Linked DNA regions of Coturnix japonica. The protein of the gene in region 1 binds, or shares a complex with, the protein of each later gene. Links are inferred from orthologs where the notes say so. Each region holds a gene or a part of one and is shown in the gene's direction. Other genes may lie near its edges.

Region 1 (7,597 bases):
TTGGTTGGTCTGTTGTCTGATCTTCAGGTGGCAGAGTTTATTGATGAGCGTCCAGATGAAGTGAAGCTCATGGAGGAGTTCCGAACAAACGCTAAATGGAAGCTTTTAGGAGGTGAGGGTGGATCTTGCTGTCATTTCTGCCTGAATGTTTGTACAGTTCTAAACAGTGACATCACAAACTAAGGGTAGTTATGAAGAACCTTAATGGTGGTTGCTTACTGATTGTTTTTCCTTCAGACCAGAATGAAGAATCACAAAGCTCAGATATTTCAGTCCCTGCCAAACCTACCACAAGGTAAGGATCTCCAGCTATAAACTCCAGCACTGATTAATCCTAATTTCTGTTTTCACCTGCCTCATTCTGCAATTTCAAGGTGTGAATCAAAGTGTGTGAAGGAGCTTTCCCAGGGATACCTTTTCCCATGTTGGATCCACTCTGGCTGGTGGAGAAGTGCATCCAGCTGGCATTGCTGTCTGGGTTTCTGCAAGGTTCATGAGCAGTTATCCCACAGTCCTTTGATATCAGAGCCATCTGTGTGATGACAGACTGCAGATGTGTAAGATAGTGAGGATGGCGGTGTTACGACACGCCTCTTTTCTGAGGTAGTTATACAGGATCAGGTGTTGCTTTGTGAGAAGATGATTATTCTAGGGCACAGAGTGGGGTTTATAGTTTGAGCATAATAAGGTTTAATGAAGGCTTCAAGTGATACAGTTAAGAGTTTTTCTTTGATTGACGTCTCAGAGTGCTTCTTGAATTGTTCTTGTGCAATCTCTTGCTCAGTAATGCAGATCACTGTATGTTACCCTACTGGTGACTTCACAGATCTCATTTGATTTCTGTTTCCACTCTGAAGACAAGAAAAGAAAATGAGTAAGCTGACTCTTATTTAACTTTCTTAGGCAACGTCATGACTCCCCAGACAACTCACCACCAAGGCGAGTACGGCACGACTCACCAGATTTGTCCCCACTCAGACAAGAAAGAAATGATTCTCCCAGCCTCTTACCTTCCAAGCAAAGACAGCGTGACTCCCCCGACCTGTCACCTCCCAGGAGGAAACGCCACGACTCCCCAGACTTATCACCCCCGAGGAGGAAACGTCATGACTCTCCAGACTTATCACCTCCCAGAAGGAAACGCCATGACTCTCCAGACCTGTCACCCCCCAGAAAGAAACGCCATGACTCTCCGGACTTATCACCCCCTAGAAGGAAACGTCATGACTCTCCAGACTTATCACCCCCTAGAAGGAAACGCCATGACTCTCCAGACCTGTCACCTCCCAGGAGGAAACGCCACGACTCTCCAGACTTGTCACCCCCCAGGAGGAAACGTCACGACTCTCCAGACTTATCACCCCCTAGAAGGAAACGCCATGACTCTCCAGACCTGTCACCTCCCAGGAGGAAACGCCATGACTCCCCTGACCTGTCACCCCCCAGAAAGAAACGCCATGACTCTCCAGACTTATCACCCCCCAGAAGGAAACGCCATGACTCTCCAGACCTGTCACCTCCCAGGAGGAAACGTCACGACTCCCCTGACCTGTCACCCCCTAGAAGGAAACGCCATGACTCTCCGGACTTATCACCCCCCAGAAGGAAACGTCACGACTCCCCCGACCTGTCACCCCCCAGAAGGAAACGTCACGACTCTCCGGATCTCTCTCCTGTAAGAAGCAGTTCAGCAATGGGAAAAAAAGGTGAGCATGTATAAGAATGCGTAATGCAAAAACATAGAGTTGTGGTGGATGGGTTATTGTTTCTGTTGGTAAAACTTGTTGTCATGCTGTATTCTGATTACTTTGAGAAGAATTAACCTAAAAGTAATTTGTGTAAGTCTTAAATGCTTGTCCAAAGGGAAAATGAAGTTTAAGCCTCGTCTCTGAACAGTGCATGTTCAGAAGGAATGGAACATAAAGGCTGATGTCAATGCTTGTTCTTTCCCTACAGCTTTACCTCACTGAAGGTTTTGATTTTACTGTGGGTTATCTCATCTGTCACCATCTTTAGGCCTCTGGTGGTTCTTATTAATGTATGTTTGTGTTGCAGATGTTTCCTCGGTAAAAAAGATGCGTCATGACTCTGATTCTCCACCTCCACGAAGAGGTGCCCAAAGTGCCTCTGAGGCAGACCTTTCTCCCCAGCGGAAGAATCACAGGTTAGGTCTATTCCACATGTGAATTCTCATAATGTGAATTATGAGTGATTCTCATAAGCACGGTCCTCTTAAATGTGTTTAGAGCAAGTCTTCATGCTCCAATTTCTCTCATCCTCAAAGGGCTCTGCCTTCTGGAAAGGGTCAGCGTGGTTCAAGGAGTCCCTCCAATCTCTCAGATCATCGCTACCCAGATGAGAAGGGATCTCCCAAGAAGGTAAGGGGTTTGTCTTTCCGTCTGTGCTGAAGATTGCTTCCTCTGATAGCAATCATTAACAGTGTGATGGCTTACAGATGGTAGAGCAGATATATAGCTTGTAAATGCAGCTGTGCCACACTGTCAGTTTGCCATAAGACCACGTGTGAGGTAGATGGAAGATGAGCTCTGCATGAGCACTCTGTATTTCTGGAAGTCTGTGGAAGCTGTTTGCAAAGATGGCAGCAAAGTGGCTTTGTAACAGAGCTGCCTCTCGTGTAACTTCCCCTTATCATACCTGTGAGTCACTGGGCAGCTCTCAGCCAGCAGTAAATGTGATTCTTGTTTGATTTGCAGGCCAAGATGATGTCTGGGGTCAAAGCTGGTTTGGTGTCAGCTGACGTGCTGCGGAAAGAGCAGCAGGAGCTCAGGAAGCAGGAGAGAAGTAGCAAGCACTTGGAAGGTAAAAGTCTGAAACCAGTGCACAGACATCAGCTTTTAGTCTGCTTTTGGCTGCCTGTTAATGCTGTATCAGGGCATGTCTTAAAATGCTGGTAGTAAGGGTGTTGATGGAGAGTGTCTGTGTTGGCTGGCATCCAGGCATGCTGATGAATATACACAGGTAAAAGCCACTGGGTCTCTAAAATAGAAATTTATGAGTGGTGATTTCAAAGAGGTGCCAATGAGACAATTGTGAGGCTTTTGTGTCTCATCTGCCCCATCTGCTATTCCTGATCTGAAGGAGCAGGCTGTTACACCTATAGCTCATTGCATGAGCTATGGAGTGGTTTGGAAACTGAAATATTCCCACGTGAGTGACTCAGGATATCTGTTATCCCTAGAGGAATCCCGACACACGGAAACCATCTTCCGCGACAAGTCAGGCCGCAAGAGGGACCTTGTGCAGGAACGTCTTGAGCAGAAGCAGAAAGATGAAGCAAAGTTGTTGCATGATGAGCAATATGCCAGATGGGGAAAGGGGTAAGGTGTCTTGGTGACATGTCACTTTACAGGTTGCAGACTGGGGGTTGGCAATGAGTTTTGTGCCTGGGACCAGGTTATTTTGTGTGGGATTACCCTGTCTGTTGCTGGGTGCTTCTCAGGGATGCTACACACAGTAGATTCTGATCAATACTACAATTTGAGCAGATGGCAGTAAATTATTCCTTAGTTTTGAGGTGGTACTTTGTATGTGTTTTTAGATTAGCACAGGAAAGGCAGCAGCAGCAGAATGTGGAAGATGCAATAAAAGAAATGCAGAAACCATTGGCCCGTTACATTGACGATGAAGATCTGGATCGAATGCTGAGAGAACAAGAGAGAGAAGGAGACCCCATGGCTGAGTTCATCAAAAAAAGAAAAGCCAAAGAGAACAAGGAGAAGAAAGGTATGGAAAGCTGTGCTGGTGCAGGTTTTAATGCCCAAGGAGCATAGAAATGCAGCTGCTGTTCAGTGAACAGTGTGAGGTTGCTGTGGCAGCTGAGTCCTGAAGATTGCATTGTAGTAACCAATGTCTGTATTGCTGTTTTTGTCTCTAGAGAAACCTAGGTACAGTGGACCAGCACCTCCTCTCAACAGATTTAATATATGGCCTGGGTATCGCTGGGATGGGGTGGACAGGTAGGTATTCCTGATACACTGATGTCATTGAATGGTAGTAAAACTAAATGAGCTTTTGCCTCAGAGAGCTTACAGTGAGTGAGATGCAACTTATTCAACCTTAACACTTCTCATGGTTATGAATGGCTGGTAGGGACATGCTTGTCTGGGACAAAAGGGAGCCAGGTTCTGTTCTGATCTGTTGTGGCACTGCCTGCTGTTTGCCACAGCTCAGAGTGGAAACTCAGCTGGAGGTGTTGATGCAAAAGTAGTGGCAAACATGTGATGTCATTTAAAAGCTTTGTGGCTTTAGTAGATGTGCACGGTAGCCCATGGTCTTGTTGGTGTTATTTTGTAGGTCCAACGGATTTGAGCAGCAGTTCTTTGCCAGGATGGCCAATAAGAAGGCAGTTCAGGAGCTGGCATACAAGTGGAGCATTGAAGACATGTAGATAGAAGAAATAACCATGTGAAACAGCACGACTGAATTGAGATCTGCCTGCTACCACTGCCAGAGCCAAAAGTAACGGCTCCTCTGCCTGGACCAAGCACTGTTCTTGGCATTCAGTATCCCAGTGGATTGTCTTCTTGGAAGCAAGGCTGTGTTTAGAGGAGAGCTGCTGGAAAAGGATTTTCCTGCCAGCCAGAAAGGACCAGTGCCAAAAACTGGAGTGGCTGCTGCCCACAGAGGAACACTTCTGCTCCCTGGTGTTCCTTCATGAGGTGCTGCAGACACTGGTGTCTGACCCACTTATTTCTTTACTAATAAACTGTAGAAACTGTGTTGAAATGTTCTATGCCAAATGCTTTGTCCTCTGAAGGCAGTTGACAGGTCTTCAGATGTCCTAAATCTCAGGTTTATTTCATGGTGGAAGCATGCTGGGATTTAAGTCATGGAGGGTTAATCCTATCTGGTGTGTTGGCCTATTGCAGCACACGGTTGTGGTTTCAGCTATGGCTGAGTTCTTCCAGAGGGTGTTTTTTGCTCTGAAACAACTTAATACTGTGAGCTGATTTACCTGTGGGCTCATGTTATGTCTGCCCCATGTTCTCCATGTCCTTGCTAATGAGCCCAGAGAGCTTCTGCTTGTTCAATGTTGTGTAACTCTTAACCCTTCTGGTTCCTGGAGTCTTTGGCTTGCAGTGAAGTTAGCACAGCAGAGCTTCCTGTAGCCCTTATGGGAGCTGTGCCAGGTGGGTCAGTATGTGGCAAGAAGCTGCTTGCTGTACATATAACTCTAGTTCTCTACTAGAAATGGCTGAATGAACAACACGCCATGTTATATTTGACAGCAAAGTCTTCAGAAGCTCCAGCAGCTCCTTGGGGGTCAATTTCTTGTGGCAATAAACACGCAGAGGCCATTTAAACTGTTTCCCTTGGCCATTATTTTCTTCAGAGTAGCTAATGGTCATGGATTAGTCCCTACAGCTTTCTCTCTGGACAGCCTTGCTGATGGCTCTTAGCGCTGCTGCCTGGGGGCTCGCTTCAGCACGAAGCATAACCTCTCTCTTGTGATTAGATTTGTCCAGCTTGCAGCTGGAGGCCAAGCAGAGCGCTGCGCTCCATCCCTGATTGCAAGAAAGCATTTCTAACTAAAAACAACGGGTTGGTAACAGACATTGTATGGAAGGGTTACATAGCAACAGCATCGGAAGGTTGTGAGCCTGAGATGCTCTACCAATGAGTGTCACCACTGTACCTCACAACTGAACGCCACCGCTGCAAGAAGAAGCTCCCAAGCTGCTCCACCGGACCCTTTTGTTTAGAGAGCATGGATCTCTTTCTTTATTGTCTTAAGCTGTTTGTTTGGTCTGTTATCTGAGCTTCAGGTGGCAGTTTATTGATGAGCATCCAGATGAAGTGAAGCTCATGGAGGAGTTCAGAACAAACAGTGGAAGCTTTTAGGAGGTGAGGGTGGATCTTGCTGTCATTACTGCCTGAATGTTTTTACTATTATAAGCAGTGAAATGTGATTCTTGTTTGATTTGCAGGCCAAGATGATGTCTGGGGTCAAAGCTGGCTTGGTGTCAGCTGACATGCTGTGGAGAGAGCAGCAGGAGCTCAGGAAGCAGGAGAGAAGTAGCAAGTACTTGGAAGGTAAAGGTCTCAAACCACTGTACAACATCTGCTTTTGGCTGCCTGTTAATGCTGTATCAGGGTTTGTCTTAGAGGGCTGGTAGTTAAAGTGTTGCTGGGGAGCATCTGTGTTGGTTGGCATCCAGGCATGCTGATGAATTCACACAGGTAAAGCTGAGTCCTCAAGTTCTCCTTCAGGATTTAGTGCCACAGTGGCATCTTCTTTTATTGACCTGTTAGCACTTTCTGTTACTGCTTAGAGTGCAGTATCTAGTGACTTAAGTAGTCAACAAACTTCAGCTTTTTTAATGGTATTGTCTGGAGTTTCCACTGTGAGCTCTTTGGCTATAATGCAGCCAGTGCTTTGGGTCTGTGTATATGTTCCAGGCTGGGGATAATGTGACCACAGGATTGCACTGAAGAAACAAATGGCTGTAGTGCTGTTTCTGTCTCTAGAGAAACCTAGGTACAGTGGGCCAGCACCTCCTCTCAACAGATTTAATATATGGCCTGGGCATCGCTGGGATGGCGTGGACTGGTGGGTATTCCTGATACACTGATGTCATTGGTAGTAAAACTAAATGAGCTTTTGACTTAGAGAGTTTACAGTTAGTGAGATGCAATGCATTCAATCTTATCATTGCTTACAGTCATGAATGGCTGGTAGGGACATGCTCTGGGACAAAAGGGAGCTCTAGTAGATGTGCACAGTAGCCCATGGTCTTGTTGGTGTTATTTTGTAGGTCTAATGGATTTGAGCAGCAGTACTTTGCCAGGATGGCCAATGAGAAGGCGGTTCAGGAGCTGGCATACAAGTGGAGCATTGAAGACTTTCTCAACTTCTTTTCAAGGCTGCAGTTTTAAAATTGTAGATGTAGGTACAGATGTTTATTACTACCACGGGGACCTTATAGCAGAGTTCATTACAGTGCTGAATTTATAATATGTGTATTATGGTTTTATTACCGGAGACTTTCTTGCTAAGATATATCTGTGCAAAGCAGTGGAGTACAGGAGAGTTTAGCTGGTGTAATTTACACATAAAAATGAAGCCTTTTGTATCGTTGCCCAGATGCAAATTGTCAAATGCTGTGATGGCTGTTGTGGATAATAACATACGGGCTTTGAAATGGCTCTGCAGCTTCAGGAGGGCCAGGGGAGCTGCCTGTCTCCGTCTGTTGGTGGATCACGTGTGTCTGCAAACAGGCTGGATTGGAACACCTCCAGCCCAGAGCTGCTTTGCAGTGTCCCATCTGTGTCTGAAGAGTGGAGAGGGGGGGCTGGGGACACAGCTCTGCGTGGGCAGTAAGATCTGACACAAGTGAGTGTGAATACATCTGCCCTTTTCCTCTCAGAGTGACTCCAAAGGCAGCAGAAACCCTTTGTGAGTATGGAGCTGGGCTCTGGTATCTCTTGTGATGACTGCAGGATCCAGTATGTGGGATGGTGGCTTCGTGTGCAAGGTATCCAACGCATCTGAGTTGGACAGTGAGAAGAGGAAAGCTGCCTGCACCTTGATGAGAGCTCGTACACCTCAAGAGGGAACAGGAGGGCGGTGAGGATG
Region 2 (6,424 bases), on another chromosome or scaffold:
AGCGGGGGGACCTCATTGCTGCTCCTCAGCTGACCCCCTTGCTGGCAGCAGTGCCCTCAGTGCTCCGTGTCTGCTGCACGTGCAGCCTGAGCCCATGGCCTTTACCTTCTGTCTTAATGAAAATTACCTGCAGGGCTCTTCATGCTGAGACTCACAGTTGTTCATGCTGCAGGTCTTATCTCTTCAAAGTCAGTGGGCTATTTAAGTAACGTTAAGCAGTGCCTCTCATTTTAGAAGGTTTTTTAGTGCTTTACTGTACTGCTGTCTTGTCTCAGCACCGGGCTTGTATTCAGATTCATTTCTGTGAGCAGTTTTATCACAGTATGGGAAGACACAAACCAATACTGAGAGCTCACTGTGCTGATGCTGCAGCACACATGGATGTACTTTCTGTGGAAAGCATTAGAGGCAAAGAGGCAAAAGAGAGAAAACAGTGCTGTGTTGTGGAGAAGAGAAGTTGAAGAAGGAAAGAGAATGACCTGCTGTGCGGGCCCACAGCTGCAGCGAGGGGAGAACAACGTTGTGCTGCCACTTGTGATTGAGGAGCACCCTTGCTAGACATGATACATGAAATGAAGGGAAGCTGCTGTCTGGAACCAGAGCTGACTTTTCTTTGGATCAGTTGGCACAAAATGGCCAGTTTGTCACTGCAGGCACCAGCACCAAAGCACCAAATGCCAACATGTTTCACTGGCTGCTGGTGCTGCAGATGAAAGGAAGTGCCGGCAGCTCCTCCCTCCTGCAGGGCACGTCTGCAGTTGTAAGCAAAGCTGATTTGGTGCCTGAACCTTGCAACGTCATACAGATTCTTTTATTTCAATGCAGTCTTTACCGCTAACAGGAAAAGTCATGGAAGGCAGTAAAACAACAAAGGCCCTGTAAGAAGCGCTGACTAGCAATGTCTGCTTGATTCTTGTTGACATCTGAGCAGTGGATGTAGAAGCCACCAAACCATCATGAGGATAATACCTTTGTCTTCTCTCCTGACACTCTCTAACCACGTCAGCCAGGTGGCATTTTGTTCCTTCCCTGCTGCCCTGTGAATGCCACATCCATCACTGATGTCAAATGTGCGAGTGACGAACTATTCCCAGTAACGTTAAATTAGCGCAGCAAGTGAAGGTTTGTGAGTGTTGCCAAAATGCATTAGGGGTAATATTGTGGGAAGTCTAGCTATGGGCTGAGGGATTACTCGATTGAATTGCTAGTCACAGCTGATCTGACTATTTTAAATGATCAGAACCTAATTAAATGGAAACACACAGGCAGATAATGAATGGAGCTGTCGGCTAGAAAATCCTCCAGTATTAGATCAGAAGTTTCCTTTAGGGGTAATTAAAATACGGTGAATGTATCTTAGGCTGTGTGTTAATCACTGGTATTAAAAGTAGATCTGATATTGGCCCAAGGAGGGCTTTGAAATTGAGTTTTCTATTACGAAGCTGCTGAAGCCAGTGCAGGGTTGTCAAACCCCCTCTGCTCTCAGGAGGTTCCCCCAGTGTGATATCTCCAGCTGCAAATGAATGCATCTGTTCCAGCCTGCATTCATGTATTTTAATTGCTCTTAGAAGTCACGACCTGATTGCAGAATATTAACACACCTTTGGGGAACTGAGAGAAGTTTGGAACGCTCAAACAACAACAAAGTGTTTGCAGGGACCTGTTCAGGCAGGTGATTGGCAGCAGCCTCTGGAACTCAGCTGTGCTTTCTGCAGCCAGGTCTTTGTGTTGGTCATGGTTATTGCTGTGTTAGCCAGGTGGTGCAGTGAGGTGCAGCCCTGAGCTCTGCTGGCTCCATAAGCTCAGGCTGCTCCTTGTTGTCCCACAGACACTCGTATGGGCTGTGGTTTTGGTTCCTGGATGTGGCCTGGCTGTGTTAACACAGATGTTGTCCAGCTACAGCCTGCATTTCTAAAGGCTCTGGATCCCCCCGGCATCAGTGGGCTTTATTTACTGCTGTTCTAGGTATAGCTGTTTTCACATTTAATTGAGGACAGTGATGTGGATAAAACCGGTAAATACCTTGGGACCAAGATGTGATCCCAGCAGGACCCCCTGGAAACAAACTGACTCAGTGGTTCCTATTTGAAGGCAGATTTTCACACCTGTCAGCCAGACTTTAGATTTAACGCGTGCTGTGTTTGCATCATTCTGGTTTCTCCATCAAAATATCAGCACCTTCCAGAAGTCCGTTCCACTGACGCTGTTATCCCTATTAACCACATCTGGTGGCTCAGAGATAGAACGCTGCCTGGCAGACTCTGTTTTCCACAGAACCTTGTTGATTGCCGTTACTTATTTCCTTTCTTTCTTAATCATGTCCTGTCTCCACTATTACATTATTTTGCTGGGATAGATGCCAGGAAGACGGGCTTATAATTATCTGGATCAGCCATTTATCCTATCTAAAAATCCTTTTCTGGAATTTTCCCATTGTTCCGTGCTTCTTTTTTGGATAAGGAGGGGACAGGAATAAAGCACCAACAACAGACCACAAGTCTTCAGGCTCCTTTTAATGTTTCAAAGCAAATATTTGGATACGTTGTATTGAAAAATGAGCAGCCGGGGATCCTCTTCAATACAGCCCATGATGAGGGGTGTCCACGATGCGATGCTCTGCTGCCTTCCCAAAGCCCCCCCAGGTTCATCACTGCAAGCAAAAAATGGGAAGTTAATGAAAACAATTGCTTTCTTGACCCAGTCCGGTCTAGTTTTCAAAGCTCATAGTAACATTTGAGATACAAATGTATGGATGTAACACTAGCAAATGAAGCCATTTTGCAATGGATTTGTTTTTTCTTGCACACACAGCTGTCCACAGTTGCTCCTTCTCCATCTGGCTGCTTTCTTTGCACAAAAGGGCTGCCCTGTTTGGGAGGAGATATCTTTGCATTCTCTCTGAATATTTGACTTTTCCTTACTGTGTTTAAACTTAAACTCAGATCCCAGATCTGAGAGAAAAGAATCTTACCTTCCATCTTGCGTGACATTATCTCAAGTTTTCCAAATGCAGTTGCTGATCCCTTCCCCTGAACACAGCGGTGTAAAAGTCTGGGGGAGTGGGTGGGCAGAGACGATGTTGGATGTGGGAGTGTTGGATGTCTCGGTGATGCTGTGACAGCTGGAAGTTGTCTTTCTCTCTTAGAGTGGTCGGCGGCTTTGAGACTCTGACTGCTATGGAGAACGTGGAAAGTGACCCCAAGACGGACCGTCCCAAGGTAAGTGGGAAGTGACGGGAGCTGTGTGGGGATAGAGAGCTGCATGGCGTGGTCACCCTGCTGCTGCTGCTGCTTCCCTGGGCCAGATGGTGCAGTTTAACCAGAGAGTCAATGTTCTCCTCTTCTGTTTGCAGGAGGAAATACGAATCGAGGCAACAACTGTTTTTGTTGACCCGTATGAGGAGGCAGATGCGCAGGTGAGGATGGCGTTCCTTCATTTTTTCAGTTTTTGCCCTGGTTGATCCCTTGTGGAGACCATACACTTTTCTGTGCCTCCTCTTTGCACCACCCCTGCATGCTGGAGGCTCTGGACCACACGGGCACAAGGTAAATTGGAACAGCTGCTCCTTACATTGCATTGTGTGCAGGGAGCACCGCTGCTGTTTCAGCTGAGAGGTCTTTGGAGCTCGGTCTGGCACAGTTCCCCTCCTCACCATTAACAGTAGCTTCCTTTCCAAATGCCCACTATGTGTGGAGGTGGGAAAGTTTTATTGTAATGGCTGCAGACAGCAGGTTTGTAGTGGCTCTTGAGGTCCATTTCCTAACGTCAACCCTGTAATTGCAGCAATGCTGATTGCTGTCTTAGAGTGCTGTAGAGCTTCAAAGAACTACAGTCATGGTCTCCTTACTCTGGACGAGCTGTTGTAACAGATTTCACTCTGCTTCCCATAGGTTGCTGCAGAAAGAGAGAAGGTTCAGCTGGAAGAAGAAGCAGCCAAAACAAAAGCTGAGATGGTCCCACTAAAGAAAGAGGTCCAGACTCCTAAAACTTACCGGCAGGGAGTTGGAAAATACATTAACATGGCTGCAGCGTAAGTTCCCTGCCCAGCAGATCTTTGTTCAGTTTTAGTTGCCTTTCCTGCTGGATGCTGACCTTGCCCGTTGCTGTTTCTCGGGGCTACCTGCTAGAGCATGCCACACACAAGGAGCAGACTTAGCCAGCTGCTTTACACCTAGTTCCCCATAATCCTTCTGCTTCCACATGACTGGGTGAGAAGTGGGGGCAGCTCTTGTGGCTCAAACTTTCAGCAACTGTGCTAAAAAAGTGACTGTTAAATCTTCTGCTCTGACCCGGAGAACTTGCTGGGGTTTGAACACATTCCTGGAAGTGCTCAAGGCCTGACACGAGCATCCCTGCAGACTGTCTGGGTGAGCCAGAAGCCCCAGCCCTGCTGTGCCAGTGCAGGGTGCGCACTCCTCTCTGATTCATAGCTGGCTCCAGTGTAGCTGTTGCAGGGAGAGGCAAGGCAGCCAGCTGCCCTGCTCCCACCCAGCAGTAAATAGTCCCTAAGGGGTGTTTTCATTTTGGTTCCAGGAAGCGCAGCGTGGAAGATGATGGGCCCTCAACAAGCACAGCTGCAAAGAAAGAGAAGAAGAGCACAGGCTTTGGGGACTTCAGCTCCTGGTAGCAGCAGCACAGCAAAAAAGAAGAGGCAGCCTCCCACATGGCCATGAAGAGCCCGAAAGACCATTTGTCCTGTGGAGAGGGAAGGCACCCGCATTCACTGTAGAAGAAAACTGTTGCTTTGTTAAGGCTGGTTAATGTGGCTTTGTTTTCAGGAGATCTGCGTTCCCCCAACTGCATCTTTCTGGAAGGCCTTTTTGTTGTTGTTCAGCTGAGCAGGGAGCACAGCTCCGCTGGGGATTAGCTGCAGCCTTTCTCTGCACAGCCAGCAGCAGCCCAGGCAGAGCCCAGCTTTGCAGGACGCTGCCTCAATAACAGCTGCACTGTGAAAGAGCTTCATTTACAGGTAATCATTTCCAGGCAAGCCAGGTCTGCTGGACAAATTGGTGTGTTGGGGAAGCGCCTGAGCTGCTGGAAGGCGCTGTGCAGGGGAGGACAGGGCTGGGCTGCAGCCTGTCCTGCTTCTCCCTTCCAGCTGCATTTTGCTTCTTCTCAGAAAGGACCAATTCCACATGTTCCTTCTGCCTCCTGGCTGGATTGGCTGCTGTCAGTGTCCACAGGGCCCCGCTCACTCTGAAATGAGCTGTGTCTGCACCCACGTGATCTCGAGCACTGGGAAGCAGTGGGGCTGTGCAGTGAGCAGTGTGCCTGCTGCTGCAGCACTGTGCGCTCCTCTGGCTGCTGGCCTCGCTGGAGCCCCTGGGCAGCTGGGGGGCTGGGCTGCCCCACTTCAGAGCTGCCCTCTGGGTCCAGAACTGACAGCCTGGAACAGCTGAGTGGGAACAGAAACAGCATCACAGCATTTTTTTTTAGCCATCCCCGAGGGCTGCTCCTTGCACAGGCATCTCCAGTATTTCCTTCCATAGCCACACAGTTAGGATGCTTACGAAAGGCCTTACAGAGTGCAGAAATGCCAGCCTGGGAGATGTAATGTGTGCTACCATCACTTGCAGGTGGTGCAGTAGATCCTGAACACAACTTCTCAGTGTTCTCGGGTGTTTTCAGAGCACAGCAGTGCCCTGCCCTGTCTGGCTGAGGAGGTGGTTTTGTAGTCGCCTTTGCAACCAGCACGTTGCTATCAGTGGTTTAAGAGCTTGAGGTCTCCACTTAGAGGAAACTGCTGTAAAAAATTTTTTGTAACAAGTTTTGCAATTAAATGCTTTTATTTTCCTTTGGATACTCGTGTTTGACCCTCAGCTGTGATTTCCAGGATCACAGCATTACGGCATTGATTGTCGTGCAAGGAAATGATTCATTCCTATGTCTAAAAGTGCTTGTGAGGAACTCGGGGATCTTTGCGGATATGATTCCATCCTTGTTAAACCATAGGAAGTTGAAACTCATTTAAAGAATAGCGGGGGGTTTCTGCAGTGTTTTGCAGGGTACAAAGCCAGACACGATTCCTGGAGCTGAGCAGAGCTTTCCTGCAGCTGAGCTGCTGGTGCTGTTCTGCAGTTTGCTGCTTCTGCTGGGCTGGCCTCTTCCTGACGAAGGGTATCGATCTCTTGTGTTGCCACCTGCTTTGTTGCATTTTAAAGTTGCAGAATTCACAGTGTTGCTGGAGCTGCTGCAGTTTAATGAACTCCGTAAGCATAAAATGGTTTTCCATAATAGATAACAACGGAGATTATTATGAATGAAGGGAGCTTTTGCTGACAAGGAAGCGGTGGGATGAGGACTGCTGTCCTGCCGAGGCCGTGTTGCAGGTGCTACAGAGATGGACAAGCAGATTTTTGCTGTCTTTGCTTGTGGTGCTCGTAGAAGTGCTCATATTCAGTGCTCATAGAAGAAACAAAAAATG

What was found. The genes of interacting proteins can lie anywhere in the genome.
Region 2: BUD13 (region 1) and PPIL2 share a complex: the UniProt entries of both Homo sapiens proteins name them as parts of the minor spliceosome. The link is inferred for Coturnix japonica from reciprocal best matches to the Homo sapiens genes BUD13 and PPIL2.

What each region holds. Positions count from the first base shown.
Region 1 is NC_029539.1:4,396,806-4,404,402, reverse strand, and holds the end of BUD13 (BUD13 homolog), read left to right. Parts: intron 1-27; coding exon 28-112; intron 113-237; coding exon 238-295; intron 296-903; coding exon 904-1,706; intron 1,707-2,055; coding exon 2,056-2,164; intron 2,165-2,284; coding exon 2,285-2,378; intron 2,379-2,714; coding exon 2,715-2,820; intron 2,821-3,199; coding exon 3,200-3,338; intron 3,339-3,559; coding exon 3,560-3,744; intron 3,745-3,895; coding exon 3,896-3,977; intron 3,978-4,314; coding exon 4,315-4,408; 3' UTR 4,409-5,324; downstream 5,325-7,597. UniProt on the Homo sapiens protein: Involved in pre-mRNA splicing as component of the activated spliceosome. As a component of the minor spliceosome, involved in the splicing of U12-type introns in pre-mRNAs.
Region 2 is NC_029530.1:444,599-451,022, reverse strand, and holds the end of PPIL2 (RING-type E3 ubiquitin-protein ligase PPIL2), read left to right. Parts: intron 1-2,492; exon of another isoform or gene 2,493-2,650; intron 2,651-2,971; exon of another isoform or gene 2,972-3,145; coding exon 3,146-3,218; exon of another isoform or gene 3,219-3,352; coding exon 3,353-3,415; exon of another isoform or gene 3,416-3,890; coding exon 3,891-4,030; intron 4,031-4,533; coding exon 4,534-4,627; 3' UTR 4,628-5,800; downstream 5,801-6,424. UniProt on the Homo sapiens protein: Has a ubiquitin-protein ligase activity acting as an E3 ubiquitin protein ligase or as an ubiquitin-ubiquitin ligase promoting elongation of ubiquitin chains on substrates.